Linked DNA regions of Saccharomyces cerevisiae S288C. The protein of the gene in region 2 interacts with the protein of the main gene of each other region in a biochemical or structural test. Each region holds a gene or a part of one and is shown on either strand. Other genes may lie near its edges.

What was found.
Region 1: the proteins of AVO1 (region 2) and BIT61 form a complex in vitro, tested with the Saccharomyces cerevisiae proteins (one study listed by BioGRID).
Region 3: the proteins of AVO1 (region 2) and YPK2 form a complex in vitro, tested with the Saccharomyces cerevisiae proteins (one study listed by BioGRID).

The regions. Positions count from the first base shown.
Region 1 is NC_001142.9:324,274-331,461, forward strand, and holds BIT61 (Bit61p), read right to left. Parts: upstream 3,601-7,188; coding exon 1,969-3,600; downstream 1-1,968. Other genes in the region: BNA3 (kynurenine--oxoglutarate transaminase), read left to right, coding at 1-447; amino acid transporter YHC3, read left to right, coding at 691-1,917; protein kinase IKS1, read right to left, coding at 3,845-5,848; ZAP1 (Zap1p), read right to left, coding at 6,158-7,188. UniProt on the Saccharomyces cerevisiae protein: Component of TORC2, which regulates cell cycle-dependent polarization of the actin-cytoskeleton and cell wall integrity.
Region 2 is NC_001147.6:179,939-189,183, reverse strand, and holds AVO1 (Avo1p), read right to left. Parts: upstream 7,503-9,245; coding exon 3,972-7,502; downstream 1-3,971. Other genes in the region: MDM20 (Mdm20p), read right to left, coding at 1-2,160; ribosome biogenesis protein BRX1, read left to right, coding at 2,461-3,336; ATP19 (F1F0 ATP synthase subunit k), read right to left, coding at 3,540-3,746; REX4 (putative 3'-5' exonuclease), read left to right, coding at 7,757-8,626; Ras GTPase activating protein IRA2, read right to left, coding at 8,875-9,245.
Region 3 is NC_001145.3:471,846-479,685, forward strand, and holds YPK2 (putative protein kinase YPK2), read right to left. Parts: upstream 3,609-7,840; coding exon 1,575-3,608; downstream 1-1,574. Other genes in the region: LAF1 (Laf1p), read right to left, coding at 1-507; YMR103C (uncharacterized protein), read right to left, coding at 1,057-1,419; phosphoglucomutase PGM2, read right to left, coding at 4,052-5,761; YMR105W-A (uncharacterized protein), read left to right, coding at 6,219-6,413; ATP-dependent DNA helicase YKU80, read right to left, coding at 6,456-7,840. UniProt on the Saccharomyces cerevisiae protein: Plays an essential role in the proliferation of yeast cells. Involved in a signaling pathway, required for optimal cell wall integrity, that acts in parallel with the PKC1-SLT2-dependent pathway.

The DNA.
Region 1 (7,188 bases), on a different chromosome or scaffold from region 2:
GCACATACAAGAATTTGTTTTGCATCTCCATCCCCTCTACAGGAAGCTTGTGCAAACTCTATTAACGACGCTTTAAAAATTGGGTATTTTGAAAAAATGAGACAGGAATATATCAACAAATTCAAAATTTTCACATCGATCTTTGATGAATTGGGACTACCATATACAGCTCCAGAGGGTACATATTTTGTCCTCGTTGATTTCTCTAAAGTGAAAATTCCCGAGGACTATCCCTACCCAGAGGAGATCCTGAATAAGGGAAAAGATTTTCGCATTTCTCACTGGTTGATCAATGAATTAGGTGTGGTTGCCATTCCACCAACTGAATTCTATATCAAAGAGCACGAAAAGGCTGCTGAGAATTTGTTAAGGTTTGCAGTTTGTAAAGATGATGCTTATCTAGAAAATGCCGTAGAGAGATTAAAACTACTCAAGGACTACTTATAAGATAAATTTTTTTTTATACTCCTTTTTCTCAATATATAGATTTTATAAAGCATGTATATTTTTATGCAGAAGTGGTAAATATAAACATCAATATTCCAGAATAATTCCATATTTTCTTCGCGTACTACAAGAAAAAGTGAACCCTTAATGAAAAATAGACAATATGAACATTTAGTAATGTTTTGAACAGTGTATTTATAGAGTACTTAAACACATATGAAGATATAGCGCAAGTAAATATAAATGAGTGACAAATCTCATCAGATATATTGCTACTTTTGGCTCTTTGGTTTGATCAATAATGTACTTTATGTGGTAATACTTTCAGCAGCTGTTGATATCGTGGGTCCTACCTTGCCTAAATCTCTAGTATTGCTAGCAGATATATTCCCATCACTCGCCATTAAATTGTGTTCCCCATTCTTTATTGATAGAATCAAGTACAGCTATAGAATATGGTCTTTGATCACGATGAGTTGCTTAGGAATGTTCTTAGTTTCTTTTAAAAACTTGTTTGTTTGTCTTTTAGGAATATCTTTCGCATCTATATCTTCCGGATTTGGAGAAGTGACATTCCTACAGCTAACACACTATTACAAACAAATTTCTTTGAATGGATGGTCGTCAGGTACTGGTGGTGCAGGAATCATTGGCGGAGCATCTTATATGTTCTTAACTTCAATCTTTAAAGTTCCAGTGAAGCTAACTTTACTAGTATTTAGTCTCCTTCCATTTGCATTTTTGTTTTATTTTAAATTAGAATCCAATGATACCAACCTGACTTACCAAAGTCTTCAACAAATTGACGAAGCAGAGGATGACCAGTTGGTGCCCTTTCCTGTCGCCTTTACACATACCAACGCTTCGCAATCCCTGTATTCTACAAGACAGCACATTTTGCAAACGGTCAAGAGACTTCGAAGATTGGTTTTTCCATACATGGTTCCATTGACCACCGTCTACTTATTCGAATATTTAATAAACCAAGCGGTAGCTCCGACCCTATTATTTCCGATTAATGGTGATGAAAGAAGTAAATCGATGCCATTTTTCTTCCATAAATACAGAGATATATACGTAACCTATGGAACGCTCTACCAATTAGGTGTCTTTATATCAAGATCCTTTGGACATCTTATGAGAATGAGGAGTTTATACATCTTAGCGTTTTTACAAGGTGTGAATTTGTGCATAACGGTACTGCAATCATGGTTTTATGTCACACATTCGCCCTGGGCGGTGATGATATTAATATTCTATGAGGGTTTTCTTGGTGGTGCGTCATATGTTAACACATTCTTAAATATTCTCGAACAAGAGGATCCTGATGAAACAGAGTTCGCCATGGGTGCTGTGTCCATCGCTGATTCCTTTGGCGTTTTTTTGGCTGCGTTACTTGGTTTGGGGCTAGAACCCAAACTTTGTAGGCATCAAATTGCCGATGACAGACCTTGGTGTAGGATGGAATAAAGTTTTGTTGTGATATTAAATAGGAGATTGAAATAAAGTGTTAGATGCTTTCTATATACTCATTCTAATGCCTGCTAATAACTCTTCGATAATTCGTTGATTTCTATCATTACTTTGAATGGTACTCAATATGCCAAAACACTGCAGTAATGTCAATTTATCTGTTTCTGTGACATTACTTTCTTCTTCTTGATTGAAAATGTAAAGTTGAAAACTTTTGCTGATACCATCGTTACTATTTACGAAGTTTTCATAACAAGGTAAGACTATTGAATCTCTAAAGCACATAAGCAAAAGAAACCCAATAGAATAATTACCATTAATGTGAGTCCGACTTTCATTGCCTGACTTTAAAACCGTAGAATTACCATCTTCTCTGATACTCTGATCCAACGGTAATAACACAGCGGCTAAATCATAATATACCTCTTGATAAAATATCCGCCATATAACGCCTAATCTTTTCAATGCGTTATTTATTGTGTCTTCATTAGAATAGTTAAAAACAATTTGGTTTTCTAAATTGTATAGGGAACTAACCAAAAATTCTTTCAAATCGCTGATAATTCTATTCATGCCGCTATGTGTGACTCTTGGATCTGTTTTTAAAATGCAATAGAATTCTAAAACTTCGTTAAAATTTTCTATTTTGGCCCTGAGTTTCCATATTCTTTGAGTTCTGAATAATTCTGCTACGTTACTACAAAATATATTCCAAATATTATTTGTTAGGGTTGTCAGTTCTTGGGAGTTGAAGTGTTTATAGTTAGCTTCCAGAGATGGTAAATTTCTTAAAAGGTCGTGTAACATTGAGACCGGATTCGGTGAGGCAGGATCAGTTCCAGAAAGCGGATCCTCAACGATTGTGTTGGGATTGACACCAGATGGATTAACATTCAATGAGTACACAGAAGTTCCTGAGTCCACAAGTTGCCCCGCATTAGTATGAATAAATTGTGACGGAGATTTATGTCTTCCGTAAGAGGAATGCAGAAATTTACTCAAGGAATTTGGAATTGCAGGCTCGATAGCATCTTGACCAATGTGCCTGTGGCTTTTATTTTGGAAAAAGTTCTTAATCACGTTTCGAAATGAATGTGAACTATTATGTAAGGTGCTTGAATCTGTCAAAAAGGAGGCAGGATCCGATGAAATGGTCGTATGTGCTCTGTTTCTCCTATTAAAAAAGCCAGAAGCCTTTCCTTTCATATACCTGCCGGAGGGCGTGGAGTGTAAACTTTTCTGAGTAATGGATATTGCATCAGAAGATAACTTTTTAGATAGATTGTTCGAGCACTCCACCGTGTCAACGCTATGAGATTCCCCTATCTGAGAAGAACCAGATTTAGATGTTGCAGCTGAGGCATTGTCATTGCTCCTCAAGGAATGATTTGAGGCCACACTGACCTTCGATCGAGGATGATCTACTGTATGGAATATGGATTGGAAGCCAACGTTAGAAACACTAGGGCTAATGGGGTTCCTCGAGCCCTTCAAATTCTTGATGGAATAAACGTCATCATTTGATGTGTCTACAAGAGTTTGCCGGCTAATCTCGCTTGTAGTCTGAAAATTTTTTACTGGGGCTGTGGCTAATTGCACATTAAGGTATTGTTCGCTATTGACAGGGCGTTGTGTCGTAGTAGATGTTCTTTCTCGAAGGAGTATATCTTCTGCTGTCATAATGAAAGAACTTTATTTCTACAGAGGTCAATTGGCGTTTCTGTCACCTAGATCTTTTCATTTGGTTATTCCCTCTATAAATTTACTCATCGGTCAATTTTTCTAACATTATGCACCTTTGTCACCGGCCCTTAGAAGAGGTGAAGATGATTCGTGAACATTGGTGATAAGCGAGAATATTTTCTATAAATTTGTAAAGTAAAAATAAATTACGTGCTATTTAGTTTGCAATGTGTACTTATTGTTAGTATATGTATTTTTTGCATGCGGCGATGAAGGCCAGTAAAACCAACGCTCTTGCATGCTTACCTCTTTCATCAGCTGGTGATTTAAAAACCATTCCCAACAATATCAGTGACATATAAGAGAGCCACGACCCCGTTTTGGTACACTTAAATATGATTATCGTTAATATCATAGAAACTAGTTTGTAACAAACCTGGATTGTTCTATTTAAAGCAGAATACTTTTGGAGGTTTTGGGTTGATACGGTGCTCAAATTTTCCTCTGGTGCTGGTAATGATAAAGTAACGTTGTCTCCGTCAATATAATCATCAGTAAAACTGTTGGTATTCTCATTCACTTCCGAGATTGTACTGAAGTTCAAAGTGCTATCCACATTTTCTTTCCAGAATTTTTTGCCGGGTTTGGAATTTATTAGCATTTCATCTAACGTCTCCTCCACTGTCTTCGCTGTGGGTCTAGCATCATTATTTGGTTGTAAAAGAGCGTCCATTAGGTGAAATATTCTACGGTCTATTGGTTTCAATTTCATCGCTTGATGCTTTTCAATCATACCTTCAGTGTCGAACCTAAAATTTTTGATGCGTACCTTCAAATCAACTATATCCAACTGTGGTTCAAAGGGCAATTCACCGAAGACAATAAAATAGCAAATCATTCCTAGAGAATACATATCGGAAGCAAAGGTGTATTCATTGTATGTGTGACTCGATCTTGAAGGCAACGTAGAAGAAGAAACTGGTCTCCCCTGGATAATAAGGTCTGGTGCTGTAAACTCTAATGTTCCTGTGCAACCAGTACCCAATCTGGACTCTCCTTCCAACTGACTTTCCCCCAAATCGCCAATAACAATTGATGGGAAAAACTCATCTGAATTGTGTTCCCTGTCGTATACGTTGTCATTCTCATTGTCACTTTTAAATGGAGTCAATAATAAACAGTTGGATGGTTTCAAGTCCCTATGTATTAGGCCAATACTGTGCAGTTCGTGTAAACCTCTTGCAATATCCCTTATAATGGATACGAGCTGTTCCGTAGATAGGCCAACTTCTCCTGATTTACCGTGATTTTTCTTGCGAGTTCTAAATTTTTTTTTCCTCTCTTCAGGTGATTCGGTATCTGAGAACCTATTGAACACTTTTCTTAGAATACAGTCTTCTAAATTGCCGCCACTGCAATACTGTTGTAAAATGAAAATACAAGGAACTTCTTCTTGTGAATCCGATTGGCTCCCATCAATGGATCTGACAAATCCAACCGAAGAATCCATTTCGAGCCACACATGATTATACGTAATCAAATTGGCACTTTTGTGAGTTAGCGAACTCAACGCTTTCACTTCCCGTATGCACTTATTAAACCATTCCATATCATTTCCAATAGGTATTTTTTTTAGTGCAAAAACACCTAATTCAGTATTACCAATTGTGTGTACAACTTTGTAAACAGAACCTCTTGCACCATTTCCCAGCAAAGACAATATTTTGAAAAATTTACGAAAGTATCCGGGGATAAACAAATCATCTGGAATAAAGTATTTGTTTTTGCTGAACTGTCCCTGCTTATTGTTACTATCGTTTTGTAGGGCGTAGTGCCGATGATTTCTTTCCAATGACTGAAAATATCTTCTTGAAAAGCTTGAATTGGCAAATTCAAATCCAAGTGGCACAGTGTTCTCTGGAATACTGAGCCTACTGCTTTCTGATTCTACTCCAGCAGAGGCTCGACGATGAAGTTGTCTTCTGTTTATAATATCAGGGTTAATTTCCGTACCACATTGCGGGCACACATAGGAAGCAATAGGGCTTTTGTATTGATGAATCCCTGAAGGAAAGTCCAGTGCTGATAAAGATGCAGTCTGGTCTTCATTTAGTTCAGAGTCATTATTACTGTTGTCCTGTTGGAAAAATGATAAAGTTCCTGAGGTTGGATTAACAACCACCACTGATTTAGAATTAGGATCATCTAAAATCAGCGAACCTTCTTCATATGGTACTAAACTCATTTCTAAGTTCTACTTATGCTATCCCTCAAACTATATATCTAATAGTGTTTCTTCGGTTACCTAGTTGTCACTCATAGGATCTATATATACAATGTCCTTCCCCCCCACCCCCTTTTCTGAAACGTATACAAAAAATAAAGCTTGAAATACGTTATTACGTAAAAAAAGTGTACTGTAAAAGCTTACAAAAAAGAGTTTGCGAAAAATTATAAATAAAAAGTAGTCTAGGTAAAATATGAAATGTTTCTAATTATGCATTTATGTGATCCTGAAAACCGCCCTTCTTACGTTGGACCATGATGATCACATTTATAAATATGGTTTTCTTTCCAATGCGCATTTCACTTTCTGTGAGTTCAATTTTCCCAAATCGTCAAAGCTTTTGGAACAGTCAGAGCACTTGTATTTTTTCTGATGGGTCTTAATATGTTTGCTCAAATTTGACGATTCGTTGAATCTCTTACCACAAATCTTGCATTGTAAAGGTTTTTCACCAGTATGGGTTCTTATATGAATCTTCAAAGAACTTGAAATCGCGAATTTTTTATTACAAATGTGACATTTGTAAGGTTTTTCGCCAGAGTGTGTCCTGGTATGCTGAACTAAAGTTTCTTCGCTTGAAAAACACCTTTTACATGTCTTGCACTTATAAGGTTTGTATTTCGAATGCACTTTTAAATGACGGATTAATTTTTGTCTTTGGGGGAACGTACGATGGCAGTCATGCCACAAGCATTGGTATTCAGACTTACCCCGGGTTAAATGTACTGCTTCTAAATGGTCGTTTAATTCCTGAGCACTGGAAAATGACTTATTGCAACCATCCCATTGGCAAATCACCTGTTCCGGCTGCTTGATTGGCGGTATATTGGAAACATCATTTGCAGACGTCATATCAGGTGCTCCATCTGCTTTAGAAACTTCGTGTGTTTGTGGGTTGGGGCAATGTAGTAAGTGATGTTTTTCCTTTGATATACTACCAGGCAAAAATGAGTCTGGGTTGGCAAATTGAATATCAAAATTGATACCATGTTGACAATTAATATGGTTCACTATGGAACATGTATCATCTCCAAGGAAATCACAGTCCTCCCAATTACAAGCTAATGGTTCCATAGGGTGTTTGAAATCTTGAGAGACATGATCCTTCAAAAGATGTCTTTGTAGGTCAAATAGTGAGCTACAAGACTCAGGACATTCTTTCCATTTGCATTTTAAGTCATTGTTTTTCTCTTCTTTAAAACACCAGTTGAAATTTATAGTGCTTGTTGTCTGTATAGGAGGAGAGATGCTAGAAGGTAATGAGTCTTCCAAAGAGCTGAAATCAGTAGATTCTAGAT
Region 2 (9,245 bases):
CTTCAAACTGTCTAGTGTTTTTAAGGTTGCCATTTTAGTAAGGTAAGTATGGGATACCATCCAGTTTTGTTTTGCATTTATTGGGACTTTCATCAACCTAGAAATTAAATCATGTAGATTTTTACCGTTATTTTCGTAAATTTCGAAAAAAATCAGAAATGACGCTGACTCCACTTCAGTTAAATTATTATTCAACAACTCTTCAAGGTTAATTGATGGAAGTTTTTTTAAGAGCGCACTTATTTGTTCCGTTTTCTCCCCATTTGGCAAAGCTTCAATAATAAGTTCTCTTATCAAAGTTAGAAAAATTGATTCTTCATTCAAGTTAGCATATTCCAAAATTTTACCACGGTTAAGAAATTGGGCAAAATTTTCATCTAATATGGAAAAGTCTCTATTGTCAGAAAATGATACACTTTGCGTCATTTCTAAAGATCTCCAATCTTCGTGTAATTTTTGTAGTAGGTGGCCGCGCTTGTCGTTGCATAAACGTGAGAACTGTAAGTTTTCTAAAGTTTTGGTCCATCTTGTATAGGATTTCATTAGTTTATCCCTCATCTCGAGCATTCCTAGTATTTTGCTATATGAATTTCTTTCGAATGCCACCTGAATATATCTTGGTAAATTAGCCAGTGATGTATCGTATAAATTATTATGTTCATGGAATGTCTTGGAGTAAAAATCGCTCTGTTTATTCGGGAACAAAGTAGAAAATCTCGAGAATATCATGTAATCTAGGGAATCTGTTTGAACGTTTTTAATCTTTAGGTTTATGAAATGGAAATAAGCATCGGGAACTAAACCCAGGTACATGTATAAAACAATCAGCCAGCACATAGTATCGAAGTTATGAGGGTCCTTGGCTTGGTAATTTTCCAATATCGTTATACACAAAAGCACGTCTTTCAATTCAGGATTAGTTTTCTTGCACTTGTCCTTGACTATTTCTAATAAGAATGTAGAACAGGAGGAATAATCCGTTACCGATTTTTTTTCCAGGGTCCCCTTAAACTTGTTATAGTTATTGATTGAGTCGCTTCCAATAAGTCCCAATTCTAGAATATTACAATGATGAATCAAATCCTTATCCTCTGGATCGTACTTAGACATAATGCTCTTAAGCATATCTATGTTAATGTGGCCGCTGTAATGATTCAAATCGATTGAACAACAAGGTTTGTTATGGTACTTTGATAAATAGTACGACAAAGATGATTCCGAAACCGAATCGGTGTACATTATATCAAGTTTCAAGCGCGCCAATCGAGTATTCCTTGAGTCTCCCAAATTTTCATCAATCCATTGTTTGACTTCGTCTTTAGATTTAGAAAGTTTGTAGGCAGCATCAATCAAGTTTGTGATCAATTCATAATCATCAAGGCCCTTTTCAATAAGTTTTGAACAAACTTCAAAAAGTTTTTGTGGAGAATTCAATAACTTGGTATGCTTCAAGATAAAGTTTTTCAAATACAAGTTTACTGAAGTATCAAAATTGGCAAAGGTAATCGCAACAATCTCTTCCGAGATTTCTCTAGATTGAGGGAATAGTTCATCCAACACCAAACAATAAACTATAATCTCTTGAACATTTTGAAATGGTTTCAAGTCTAACAAAGACTGGCGCGCTAGCCTGGAGAGCAAAATTTTCTTGGGATCTGAAAGAGTGTTTTCCTGAAACCTTGATACGGCTAAAATCGAGATTGCATTCCAAAAATAATATGCTCTTTTAGGCAGGTTTCCACTGTCACTGTATTTAGCTAGCTGTAGAGATGCTTTGCTCATTTGGTTATAATTGGAATCTTCCAATGCTTTCATAAACCAGTGATAAGACAATTCGTAGCTAGGGAATTTGAAATTTCCTCTTTCATACACGTGCAATGCTTCGTCGTATTTCCCTAACTCTACGAAGAAGTTGTGCAAAAACTCCAAGGAACGCGTGTCGCCCGTAATCGTTGTCCCTTTCAGCCCATATGGTTCTTCTAGCAGTTTATTGTAATCGAACTTACCAGGTGACTGCTTGAATTTAACATAGGTTTCCAAAATCTTGAAGTACAACGCATTGGGAAATTGTTTTTGCAATTGCCCCAGTTTTGCATAGCATTGTTTGAAGTTGGACCTGCTTACTAGTCCTAATATCTCCTCCTGTATCTTGTCGGACATGCTTCGATGCGATGATTGCTGTACCGAGCTCGTTATGTATCGTTGCTTCGCCAATGAATTCTGTTGCAGCTGACATTTATTATTTATTTTCCTAAAGCCCTCGGCGGTCCGTGGACAGTGATTTTCGTTAAAGGTGACTGAAAAATTTTAGATGCTCATCGCGATGGTTCTCAAAGAATCTATCACCTAAAAAGATACAGAAATTGCTATAATATTTACGAGTTAGAAGGTTACTTAGCCTTATTTTGCTTCACGTCTTTCTTTATACATTCGTCAGGTGTTGAAAGAGTTCAACCAAAGATGTCTTCTATCTACAAAGCCCTCGCAGGAAAGAGCAAAGATAATAAATCTGAAAAGAAGCAAGGCAATGTCAAGCAATTTATGAACAAGCAAAGAACTCTTCTGATTTCGAGTAGAGGTGTTAACTATAGACATCGTCATTTAATTCAAGACTTAAGCGGATTATTGCCTCATTCCAGAAAGGAGCCAAAATTGGATACTAAAAAGGATCTTCAACAGTTGAACGAAATCGCTGAGTTGTACAATTGTAATAATGTTCTATTCTTTGAGGCCAGAAAACACCAAGATTTGTATCTATGGTTATCCAAGCCGCCAAATGGGCCAACTATAAAATTTTACATTCAAAACTTGCATACTATGGATGAGTTGAATTTTACAGGTAACTGTTTAAAGGGTTCTCGTCCGGTATTGTCGTTTGATCAACGTTTCGAATCCTCCCCACACTACCAATTAATTAAGGAGTTGCTAGTGCATAATTTTGGTGTACCACCAAATGCTAGAAAATCTAAGCCATTTATTGATCACGTCATGTCCTTCAGTATTGTAGATGATAAAATATGGGTGAGGACATATGAGATCTCACACAGTACTAAGAACAAAGAAGAATATGAAGATGGCGAAGAAGACATATCATTAGTGGAAATTGGCCCTAGGTTTGTTATGACTGTCATTTTGATCCTAGAAGGTTCATTTGGTGGTCCAAAGATCTATGAAAATAAACAATATGTTTCGCCAAACGTCGTAAGAGCTCAAATTAAACAACAAGCTGCTGAGGAGGCAAAGTCTAGAGCTGAAGCTGCTGTGGAAAGAAAAATTAAGAGAAGAGAGAATGTTCTTGCCGCCGATCCTTTATCAAACGATGCCTTGTTTAAATAATAAGCATAATACTATCAGAGAGTTTTACATAACATTGTATATTAAAAAGATATAACAAGAAAAGAGTGGATGTAGCAACTGTCTAGTTATAGACCTCTTTTTAATAATTTAATGTTTAAATCTTGAATATCGAAAGCTGTATATATAAAGAATATTTATTGTATGTACAAAAGATCTTCAACCGCGCAGCAATCAAGCTATATTTACGCATCTTGCTTTTCCGAATGTTTCTTTAAGTAGTTTTCAATGAATTTTTCCTCGTCTTTGTTGTCTGTTTTGATGTCGACTGTTTTTGGCTTTGCGCTTTTAAAAGGATTTGGAACAACCAATAAACCTAGCAGTCCTAATGTCCCAATGGCTAGTTGGTGTGGAGGGATAGCTTTCCCCATGAAATGATAAGCAGCACCCATTGTCGTAGTTATAAATTATTATTTGAAGTCACCTGGCCTTATTCAATGCTAACGAGTTATGTGCTCTATGGGGGGACTTGCTCCTAAAAAGCTCTTTTTTTTCCCTTTGCATCGAGAAGCGGACTCTGACCAATCACCATCGAGATCGCGATGAAGTATTTTCTATACCATATTTAGATATAAACCAAAATTAATGCTGGTAAGATGCAGTATAATGGGTTTTACTTATTTATGATTCATTCTATAAGCGCTTAATAAGTTTTGTAATCGCGTCACGATCTCAGTACACTCTTGACCTGAAACTGCTTCAAAGTAGTACCTTTTGATATCATCTTGCCCCTCTCTTCTTACGAAAATTTTGAAATGCTCAGGGACTCTTTTGGATTTTTTGACAAGAACCACTTGACTAATGTGTAACGACTTAGTCTTTACATTATCATGCCAATGTATACGTCCCTCCGGGGGTACAATGTATATGTAGTCGCCATCAATGGCTAGTGTTCTTTCATGCTTGTTTATAAATGACATTTGCTGCCTTCTCCATACCTTATATTTATGATACGCTCCGGTAAAAAGATCTTGGAAGTTATCTCCAACTCCATTTGGAGTGTCAGGCGTGTGCTCCATCGTACTCTGAGAACGGTTTATATTATGAAACTGCAGTGTCCCATGCAAAGAGGATTTGGATGAATTCTTGTTCTTGAAAAACCCATTTCCATTGGCGAGACCGCCAGCCGTTGAAACACTTCCACTAGCAACACTTGATGACGAATGCTGCTTTGCCAAGCCCAGCTTATACTTCGTGGATATCTTCTTAGCTTTGGATGTAACTTTCGTGTTTTCAGGAATGGCAGCCACAGCCCCTCCAGCATCTGCTTTGAGATAAGAGTTCAGAGGCTCCAAAGTTAACGGAGTTAGATCATTACTTTGGATCGTTGGCAAAACGGGCTTCTTTAGGTCAGGTTTCATTTTTTCCAAATGCAACTCCCTTGCATCTTTTTTAGAGATGAGTTCCACCTTATTAATACCATCGAGCCTTAATACCGTATCATTCAAGTCCAGTATATAGTTCTTTCCTAGAACTTTTAATGCATATTCATTAGGATCCATATTTTTCATTTTGCAATATTTTACCAAAATATCGTTTATATGTGAGGTCACTAAAACACTTATGGTAGTATAGTTAAATTTGGGATTCACGTTAGGATACAAATATACTGTTACATCAATGATTTTCGAACCGTTTGTCTTATCGATGTCGTCTTCATTACCTATAATAGGTTTGTAGAAACTTAGTTGGTTGATGGTTCCGTCAGTTGTATCGTGACTGCTGTTAGCATCCAAAGTAGAAGCATCCATTAGGCCCCCACCAGTTTCAAATGGTAAAGGTGTTTCAATTTCATTTTGAGACTTCTCGGCATCATCAACCTTACATAAAACAACTTCGCTGTCCGAAATTGATTGAATAGTGCTTTTTCTATCTAGTTTACCAAAGTTATCCTCAAAAGGTTCACCGTCTTCATCGACAATTTTCAAAGAGAAGTTATTAGGATTAGAAATGTCTTCAACTGTCAATCCATCTTCTTCAAAATTGTCCGGTTTTTTCTCAGTAGAATACAAAAATAAAGCAAATCCAATAACTTCGAAGATGGTAGACGATTTTCGGACTTTGGTAGTGAAGGAATTTCTTTTATATTTTTTGGAAGCTTGAATGTATATTTCGAGACCCATTGATTCATAATTTGGTACTTTATCTCCGCAAACAAATGAAAAATATTCTAACACATCTACAGAATTAGTATTTGTTCTCTTTTTCTTTTTGTTGAACATATTCGATAACTGTGAGGCCTTCGGTTTCGACACTAGATAATCGGTGGTTTTCTCAATAAGGATGTTCCCCTCTTTCGAGCTTTTATGGACACTTGATGGAACACTAGGTTGAGAATGGTCCTGCTTTAACGTCAACGTGCTCTTCCTTGCCCTATGCAATACACTGTCAGAAACCTTTGGGGCTTTCATGTGTTCACTACTGGCCGTCGATGAAGTTCTTCCATGTCCTCGTAAAAGAGGAGACCTTGTTGAAGTTAAATTCGAGCTAACAGAAAATTTTCTATTAGAACTGGTTAAGGATGTTGGCTCCTTTCCTGATATAACAGTATCGCGCCTTTCTTTTGGGTGTCGCGATGAATTCATAGTCAGTACGGCTTTATCGAAGACATTGTTTAAGGTAGAGTCATCATCGCCATGATAGATGCCATATTTTTGCATAGACATTGGTATGGAATGAGAGGGTATAGTATTAGTTTGCATGTCTGAATCAAGAGACATTTCACCGCTCTCCATGGTTGACGAGTCGTTATTAGAATAACGTTCTTCGGAATATTCAGATCCTAAAAGGGACTTCCCATATGATGAGCCAGGAGTGATTCGGTCACGATTTTGTGCATTGAATTCATTGCTATTACTGCGGCTGTCTTTTGAATCCCTGTTCATGACCGCCGTTCCATCATTTGTAGATTCATGTCCTCCCAAATCAGATACTGTTTTGTTTATGTTTGAGGTCACTGTATCAAAATTCAAATCATCTAAATCTTTTTCATTGATATAAGATTCCATATCGGAAATATTGTTGCTTTCCGTTTCCGTCAAACCGTCCCTACTCACCGATCCGTTACCGCTGGCGCTGCTTCCATCTCCATGTATACCTTTATTGGCATTCAGTGAATCAGATTTTTGTCCATCATTTTTATTGTCAGTTAAAAAAATTTTCCCCTTTTGACTTGTGGGGAAATGAGATTTTAACCTTGAAGCACTTCCTATATTGCCATTTGAACTCTCTCGATCATCAAGAATGCTGATGCTGTTTCTGTTATTTGTGTAGGTGTTGTTTTTATTGTTGGACATGCCGTTGATGCCTTTGTGGGCTGGACTTGCTCCAGAACCCTTAGCATCAAAATCATCATCTAACTGAAAAAATTGAGAGTGTATATCGTCACCTTCTTCGTCATCGTCGTCGTCATCATCTTCTTCTTCTAAGTTTTCATCGAAATCGAAGTTCATATCGAATTTACTGCCTTTCTTATTATGGCGAGCACCAGGTGGATGCAAAGTAGATGATTTTGCTCTTGTATTAGTTGTATTCATGACATTTTTATTTCCAGAAGTATTTGAGTGGTCCCTTCGACTTTTGAATATCCTCACGAAAGGAAGCGACGATCTCTTACTAGATTTCTTCTGCATTTCCATCGAACTATTTAAATATGAGTCTTCCTTTGAGGAAGTTTTGTGATGTTTTCCACTGGTATGGTCGTCATCATTTAAAAGAGAGTTCGACGCAGATGAATTAAGTGGATTATAACGAAGTGTTCCATTTTCTTCAACTATCAGAGTATTTTTTGCACTTTTATCTTGCAAATTTCGTGTTTCTTCCTCGTCTCTTTCAGTCTTCTCTGCTCCTATTAAATTCTGGTTAGCCTTTCCTTTTTGGCCTTCATTCTCCCTCATTATCCTCATTTTCCCTAATGAAGCATAGTTTTCCATAAAATCCTTAGATACCGGTGGAGACTCTAGTTCAGGTAACAAGCTTACGCCGTCTGAGTTCATATATAATTCACGGATAGAAGAATCTAAGCACTGCTCTGTGTTGAATTCATCTACGGGTATGTACGGTTTTATTATTCTTTTCATTTGATCTTTCTCCGGACACACTCGTAGAAACTGAGCCCGCAGTTCATTTAATACCGTCACCGTGTCCATTATCGTCTTATTATGGTGTGGTGGGGGTTTTACAAACACTGTTTTATTTAGTTTTCCTGTTCAGTAGCCTGTATCTATTGAGAATTATTATACCGTATATTTTTTGACGCGGGCTGATATGTAAGGTCGGCTAAAAAAAAGAAAAATTTCAAAAGTTAAACTAACCTCATCGCAACCACAATCCATTTAAAGCCTGGTTCTAGAGGCTTCATAGACGTTTACAGATTTAATAAAGTAGATAGCGTACAGTTTTAATGGCTCTCTCTTCAAACTGGCAGGCACTATTAGCCTCCGAAAGCAATCCTACCTCCAATGGAAAGAATAAGCAATCAAATAGGAAAATCAGAAACGTTAAGAAAGTTAGCAAAACAGTAAATGTCAGTAGTACAACCCAATATGCCCCTCGAAAGCGCAAAAACGGCAGTAAAATTATGGACATGGTATATAACATGAACAAGGAGATTAGTAAGCATGAGAAAGACAAGCTCGAGGGAAAAGTGTTTGAATTCAACCCAAATAAAGCAAATACTAGTACTACTATTAAAGAGCCAGTAAAAGTGGGTATTTCGGAAGATACTCGTATTAATAGTAATAAGAGTAAAGAAATTGGGAAATACATCGCCATGGATTGTGAATTTGTAGGCGTTGGTCCCGAGGGTAAAGAGTCTGCGTTAGCTAGAATATCAATCGTAAATTATTTTGGACATGTCGTCCTCGATGAATTTGTTAAGCCAAGAGAGAAAGTTGTAGAATGGAGAACTTGGGTTAGTGGTATTAAACCAGAGCATATGAAAAATGCCATTACATTCAAAGAAGCTCAAAAAAAGACTGCGGATATTCTGGAAGGTAGAATTCTTGTAGGGCACGCTTTAAAGCATGATCTCGAAGCATTGATGTTATCCCACCCAAAGTCACTACTCAGGGACACTTCAAGACACCTCCCATTCAGGAAGTTGTATGCTAAGGGTAAAACACCCAGCTTAAAGAAATTAACCAGGGAGGTTTTAAAAATTTCCATTCAAGAAGGTGAGCATTCTTCAGTCGAAGATGCTCGTGCCACCATGCTATTATATAAAAAGGAAAAAACGGAATTTGAAAAAATTCACAGAAACACTTTCAACTAAGACGGTAGATGAATGGCCCCTTTTATTCTTACAATTAAAATGCATTGGTATGTACATTAGTCTATGTGGCGCTTGAATTTACTGAGCCATTCATTACACGATAGAATATATAAAAATTGTAGCTGTATAAAAGCAACCCACGTAACAAATTGCGAAAAATTAGCGATAAGAAAACCCTAACATGAGATATGTACATTCATGCTTACAGATAGATATTGATATTTCTTTCATTAGTTTATGTAACACCTCTAAGCAGAACATGACATCCTTGATAAAATCATTGTCATTATTCTCTTACGTTCATAGATATCTTCAGGTTTTACATCTAAAGGTATCATCATGTCGGAGTTCTTCGCAAATATACCAGAAGAAGTCACAATCGATAAACCTCTTTTGGTTAGACGTTCAATGGATTCTTCGTGAAGTTTTTCTAACGAATTAGACTCTGAATGCGTCACTAATAAGTTTAAAATATCGAAAGCAAGTGGAACACAATCCGAATTTTGCTCAAATGCTGATATTTTTCTTATTTCGTTACGAATAACACTGTAAAAACGCAATGCACAAATGGGTTTCTTTGTCAATAGATGCCTAATAATCAACGCAAACCTAAATCTAC
Region 3 (7,840 bases), on a different chromosome or scaffold from region 2:
AGATGATTTGGAAGTGGAGGTAACCGTTTCACCTTCGTAGGCCATTAGTTCTTGCGCGAGAAACAATCTTCTAAATTGTTTCAGGTTTTTCCGACGTTTCAACATTTTAATGTATTTTGGCTCTCTCAAATAGTTTTCAAATTGCTCTGTATCAATGGAATTGAAAGGGTAAAACTCATTGACCCTAAGATTCGAATTTAAAGTATTGCCTCTCTGTAAATGTTCCTTTAGTCTCATAAATGAATCAGTGGCGTTGCCGTTGTTACTATATTTTAATTTGTCATTTGTATTATTAGTTTTTGTCATTCTGAACTTCAATGGCTCGATATCTGCAGAATATTCAAGATTTAGTTTGCTTTTACTTTTACTTTCACCGGAACTGGACTCGCCGTCGAAGCTCTCTTGATGCGACCGACTCTCCTCTTCAGATCCAGTGGTATTCGAGGAATTGCTGAATTCAGAATGTACCTTGCTTATACTTGTTTTATCCTCCGCCATATTCGTCATATTTCTAATTCTCGTACTATATTATACGCCACTACCGTATACAATATGCCAAGAGCTCAGCAACTGCTTTCTATTCTTTTTCTTTGATTGTCTTTGTTCCTCTTTTCCCTCTTTCTTTTCCTCCTCTGTTTAACAAGTTGGAGAGAGTTGCAGTCTTGTTCCCTATACGGTCCAGCTGTGACTTGTACGAACGCGTATTGTATCCCAGGAAGAAATAATGATGTAACTCGCTTACGAAGCTTAAGAAAGGGCAAAAAAAATGTGTCCCCCCTAACTGCGAAAGTGAAAAAAAAAAAAATTAATGCGTTGAATTTACACAGTTCTATGTATAATTAACTGCTACGATAGAAACTGGACAGTAGTAAGAAAGATTGGACTAGGCATCACCCAGACTTTACTTTTTCGGCATACATATCTATTTATATATAGTTTAATACGTAAATACAAATATATATATACTGTAAATTTTAATCATTAAGCTTTTCTTTTTTTTTTGTTCACGCTTTCACCCTGTGAGGCGAATGAGGTTAGCTTTTTCCCTTTACGGGACTAGGTAAGGCTCCCCATGGCTGAGCCCGCGCAAGGAAATCCAGGATCATCCGCGGAAGAAATAAGCTGCTCCCGGCCCAGACTATGTAAGAAAAGTGGCAACAAACAGAAAAGCGAATCTTTCCTTTCAGGCAATGCAAGGGTCCTTTGCCGTTTGGCGAATTCCGGTAACCTCGACTTGCGCCCCGCGGGCTTCGCTTTGACATCCGCGGGTATAAGCGTCCGTCCTTCGGCCGACAACAGGTCGGTCTTTGATCTCAATTCCGTAGATGGAAGAATTCTGATAATGCTGTAAAAGAAATGAATAAGCAACATAAGTCGTGTGAGAGTTGCTAAAAGAAGAGCGCAGCCTCTGCGGACCATTCTATTTTCTGTAGTTCTTCTTGTCCCCGTTAACCACAATAGTAACGGAGTGCGTATCGCAATCTACTTGAACTATCCATTTTTGAAAATTGCAACCTCTTGCGGCTATAGCTATAAATTCCGTCCGGCTCGGCTCGGCTTGCTTCGGCTTGCTTCTAACTAATGCTTCTCCCCTGCGAAGGAGAATCACCCAACTGTTCGTCACCAATGTACGTCCACCCACCAAACTGCTTTTGAATACTTGCACTTAAGTACTCGTCCACTACACTATCGATCGGTTTTTCCTTAGTGAACTCTTGATCAAAATTTGCAGTATCTATTTCACTCTTTACAATTGGCTTGTAAGGCGGAATATAGCCCTTCAAAAGTAGCTTTTTCCATGAGATGTCTTTAAAGAAAGGATGGTTACGAATTTCATCTGTACCGTTAACGCCGAGTCTTCTGCTTGGGTCTCTGCTTAAGAGGCCAATTAATAGGTCTTTTGCCGCAGGGTCAAATCCATCAGGAAATAGTAGCGGTTGCTGCAGAATTTTCTTGTACATAACAGGAACGTTCTCATCATAGTATGGTGGCAGCCCTGTCATCATCTCATACAGTAAGATACCTAATGTCCACCAGTCAACTGTTTTAGTATAGCCCTGCCCCAACAAGATTTCTGGTGCCAAATATTCGGGAGTACCACAGAAAGTGTCTGTTTTGTCATTATCCTTCATGTTCAGCTTGCAAAGCCCAAAATCACACAGTGCAATATGTCCTTGGTAATCCAATAGAATGTTTTCAGGCTTTAGGTCACGATAAATGACGTCAAGTTTGTGTAATGAATCGAGAGCACATAATAGTTCTGCAATATAAAAACGGGAGCGTGCTAGACTGAATCGTCCCTCGTGTTGTAAATGGTAGAACAGTTCACCGCCATTAATGAAAGCTAATACTAGGTACAACTTCTCCGGAGATTGGAATGAGAACTTCAACGGAACAATAAAGGGGCAGTCAACTCTTGCTAGGACAGTCCTCTCCGCTAAAGTATGTGTCACTTCACATTTCGATACAATATATGCTTTTCTCAGAGCCTTCAAAGCGTAAATCTTTTGGGTATCTTTTTTCCTTACTTGCATCACTTTGCCGAACGAACCCTTCCCGATAACCTTCAATAGATCAAAGTCATCAATGGAGAGAGGCTTGTTCTTAGAAGGTTTGTAGTCCACCGTGATATTTAATTTACCATATCCCCTTTCTAAAGAAATCCAATGGTGATTGTATAGTCTTATTTGGGCTGCAGAATCGATTTTTAAATTCAAAGGTAAATGGAAGGAGTCCAAATGGATATCCTGATTTGTATTGATTTTTTTTAAAATCTCCTTCAGTACTTCGTCCTGCTCGCCAATCTCCTGTTGCCAGTTTTTAGAGGGTAAAAGTAGGGATGGAATCCTTGCAAAGACATCGATTTTTAAAAATCGTAATTTTCTTGTTACATCAAATGTCGATATTTTGTTAAACACTGGTTGCTCCATCGTTCCCATATCTGGACTAATAGTAGTAATAGAATTATCAAATTCAATTGTAAAATAAAGTAATGGGCTTGAATTTGTTGACCCAGGTAACAATATAGAGGAAGGAATGAATTTAGTGGCAAAAGCTCTATCTATCAAGCCTTCCCCTGCTGAATCTTGATCCACTCTCTTGTATCGTGGTAGCTGCCGCATTATGGCTGCAACTTCGGAAGCGTCATTGGATGATGAAGTAAGGATGCCGGAACTTAGTAGTTTTTGTAAAATAGTAGAGTTAGAGGTGATAGGGAAGGGAAGAGTAAAATCTTTACCAGAATACACCTTCACTGTCATTAGTCCGGATTCCGAACTCGGTCCCTGCGTCTCAGTAGACGACTGACTAGCTTTCCTTTCGGAAGCCTTAGAATTGTCATTTCCTATCCCCGATGGATTCTTGAAGGATGCATCATTACGTAATTTTGGAGAACTTAAGGAACTTGGGAGAGTCTCATTTGTATTGATCTTTCTTATATGGTGTTCGTGTTCATGATTATGATTCTTCGGGCTACCATCGTGATGTTTTTCTCCATGGTGGAAATGAAACAGGCCATTACCCCACGATTTTTCATTTTCATCTTCACTACTCCCATCATCTTCTTTGGACCTTCCTAACTTAAACTTGGATATTCGCCAGGAATGCATGTTACTATATGTATATTTGTATACGCGATAATTTGACCCAGTTGAACAATTCTGGTTTAGGAGCACTTTGGCTGAATTTTATCATTTTATTTATAAATCTAAGGATGACGGCCATTTTACAGATTTCTCGAGGGAAATATAATAAAAAACTCGGGGTAGGTAATCTGAATTCGGGGATACGCTAATTTGGGAAAAATTCGTGAATTAGATATAATTAGAAACAGCACTTATGAAGAAGATACTGCGATTAACCAAAATATTCTCCTCCTTATGAAAAAAAAAAAAAAAAGACTCAGAAACCTATGCAATCGTTTGCTAATATGTCGAAATATGGATCTATTAAGTATATAAAGTATGTGTTCAAAAAATTGAAATTTTCTTCTTTACCGTTAATATTCATTGAAAAAGGTGAAAATCATTAAGCCATTAGTAAATCATTCGTTTTAAGTACGAACCGTTGGTTCTTCAGTTCCTAAAACTTGTTTAAAGTTCAAGAACTTGATGACCGAGTTAATAATTGGCTTCAAGTATTCTTCAGCTGTCTTTTGGTATTGTGATTTATCATCGCAGTATTTTTCAATGTACAATCTAATGGTAGCACCTGAAGAACCTGTACCTGACAATCTTAGAACGAATCTTGCACCATTGGAAAGCTTGACATATAAACCTTGATGGTCAGAAACAGAACCGTCCAAATCTGTGTATGAAAAATCACCACAATCGGTGACCTTAAGAGACTCATCGGCTGGGAAGGCGGAATTAACAACACCCGATTTGGTAACATATGCTCTCAATTGATCGACAATCTTGTTAGCTTTTTCTGTTTCAACTTTTTCAAAATCATAACGAGTGAAGAAAGTACGGCCGTACTTTGCCCAGAATTCATTCTGTATCGTCTTAATAGAAGCTTCGTTCTCCGGATGATGCTTGTTGTAAATGGCCAAGATGTTCAACCACGCCATAATGGCCCAAACACCGTCCTTTTCCCTTACGTGGTTGGAACCAGTACCAAACGATTCTTCACCACAAATAGATAATTTTTTAGCGTCGAACAAAGCACAGAAAAATTTCCAGCCAGTTGGGACCTCATAACAGTTTAGACCATGGGCCTTGGCAACACGGTCTATGGCTCCTGAGGTAGGGAATGAACGGGCCAGACCATATATACCTTGCTTGGCGAAATATGGGATTTCAGCTGCATATTCGGCAATAATTGCGACGGAGTCACCTGGAGAAACGAAAGATGGGCCGTAACCGTAAATCATATTTCTATCACCATCACCATCGGATGCAGCACCAAACTCAATCTTTTCACGATCTACTCTTTTCACTAACGAACTGGCATAAGTTAAGTTTGGATCTGGATGCATACCACCAAAATCCGGAGAAGGATGCCAGTTTTGTAAAACCTCATCCGCCGGTAAACCAAATTCATCAACGAAAATAGCCTTACCGTATGGTCCAGTTACACCGTTCATACTGTCAAACAGTAACTTCCAATTCTTAGTAGAACGTTGATTATCGATGAATTTCTTGATTAAGTCGAAATCGAAGATTTCCTTCAAGAAGTTGACATAATCTTTTGTAATATCGATAATGTCAACGAGTAATGGACCGTATTTCTTGTTCTTGCCTATCGTACCCAAGTCTAGTTCTGGGAAGTCTTTGATAATCTTATAGCTGGTAAGCTTTTTGGAAATCTCCCAAATAGCATTTGTGACGGATTCAGGAGCAGGACCCCCATTGGATAAGTTATACTTAATACCCATGTCATTTTCTGGACCACCTGGATTATGTGAGGCGGTTAAGATAATACCACCAGTACATTTTTCCTCGTAGGTTCTCATGATGTGAGAAGCGGCTGGCGTAGACAGAAGACCATGCTGGCCAATAACTAACTTTTTAATACCGTTGGCAGCACCGATAGCGGCAATCTTATGAAGAATGACATCATTGTAGTAACGCCCATCACCACCGACAACAAGAGTGGCACCTTTAGAACCCTCTGGAATAGCTTCCATGATCGATTGAATGAAATTTTCTGTGTAGTTAGGTTCGTCTTTAAACACCTTTGTCTTCTTACGCAAACCAGAGGTACCAGGCTTTTGGTCTTCATATGGTTTGGTGGGAACCGTTTCAATTTGAAATGACATGTTATGTTAACTTTTGTTACTTTTTTTACTGAGAAAGATTGGTTGATCTTCTTCTTATTATCCTATTGTTCAAGCAACGCTGAAGAAAGACATGGAACACTATCTTCGAAAATGAAACAATATTAACGGTACCTTTTTATATTTCCCACATTGTTCGGGCGGCAGTCATCCAGATTCTGAAAGAATCAACTATTTCTTTTACACTTTTCAACCCCTGTTTGTTCCTGGAACTGCACATAACAAAAGTATAACGTCCCCTTTCACGTAAGTTCCCCACGAAAAAAGTAGTGCGCGACACCACCCCTTTTCGTGAGCTCCGCGCTTCTCTTCACCGAGCCTAAGTTGGGCCTCTCCCCCCTAGAAAGAACAAGTTGGCCCTGTTGTCCTTAGCTCGCAAGCTCAGGGGCAGCAGCGTGTGTTGAGATTAGAGAACCGCTCGACCTCAACGGATGATAGTATGATTTTAGTACATACAGGGAACGTCCTCTACCCACGTTTTATTGTTGTTGCATTTACTTTTGAACAGCGACAGGGGGGAAGGTGTAAAGGAGGAAAAGCAACCTGCATGGCTAGTGTTCAAAGTTACAAGGTAACAATGCAAATCAGTAGTATGACAATTATTTACCCGCTATTTATTTTTTTTTCTCTTTAACTGTGGTGACGAAAACATAACTCAAAGGATGTTAGACCTTTTTTAATTATTGCTATTGTTTGGACTTCCCCTACTGTGTTGTTCACCGCGCTTCAATAGCGTTTCTAGGTCCGGGATCTTTTCCCTCTCAAGCTCAGTTTTTAGTTCGGAGTCGAGTTTTAATTTGTCTACTTTCTTGATGCCGAGCACTTCAACCAATTTTGTGCTATCAAATTTCTTGTGCGTGTAAGGACTTATTTTGTTTTTCAATGAGTCAGGAAGCTCTGGGATTTCAAATTCCCTGGAATCATTGATCATCAGTTGGTGAATCCATTCCAGTAGCACCTGTTGTTGCCTGTAGACAAAAACCGTGGGTATTCTAAGAGGATCCTTTTTGTTTTCCTCTTGGTCTTTATTTAAAGAGGGAAGTGGGAGAGTGGTGTCTGTTGTTACTTCGCCTATGGGTTGATAGTAGTTGCCTAACGGAATCTCTGGTAGCTCATCTGTATCCATTGAATCTACAAATTGTTCCATAAGCTCATCGATTTGATGCCCGTCTGTTTCCTTTTTCAGCGGTACCCCGGATGTAGTTGTTCGATCCAGAAGTTTTGGAAAATCAGTTACCCTCTCGTCTTCCGCGAATGGTAATCTACACAAGGTAAGGCTCTTAACAAACTTCTTCTCGGAATTAATGTTACTGTGCTCAATTAGAACGGGACACAATGCACACATATTCACTTCACTGTCTTTCTTGCTCACATATCTTGCAACAGCAATTTTTCTATTTTCTAGCATAACATCCACTAGAGCACTGAAAGCCATTAAGTCAGATTGACAGCCAAGTCTTGTGTCGGCGGTAATGAAGGAGGATTCCGACGTCAAAAAGTACCTTGGAAGAGCTTCTCTATTCAAAAATCCTCTTAAATCCAAGCCTGGAAAAGATTCATATACAGTTTGATCGACTAGAACGGACGGTAGCACTACGTAGTCTGCACCATAACGGTATGCCTTCGTTACAGAGTCTTTGGAGATGGTCACGGGAATGTATGACGATCCAGACTGGTCATCTTCACTGACATTTTTCTTATTTCCTTCGTTGTGAATTTCATATTCGATTATGGATTTGACCCCCACATACCTTTCTTTCTTCTGGGAGTCTTCCACCTCAACAGCGGTTTTCCTATTTAAGCCTGAAACTGCTTTCGTAGCAGGAAAAGCCTCTACCTTGATACATAAGCAATTTTCATCTTGCATGCTGCCGCTAGGATTCGATGTTTGTGTTGATAATATATCTGCCCCTAACCTAAGCTCGCCTGAGAATACTCTTACTGGCTTAACGACAGATGTTGCTGGGGAAGTGATTTCAACAAGAAGTTCATTCATATTGTAGATTCTTGAATTCGGTATCGCTTCGACCAACTTTAACCAGTTCGATTTTTTCCTCTCCT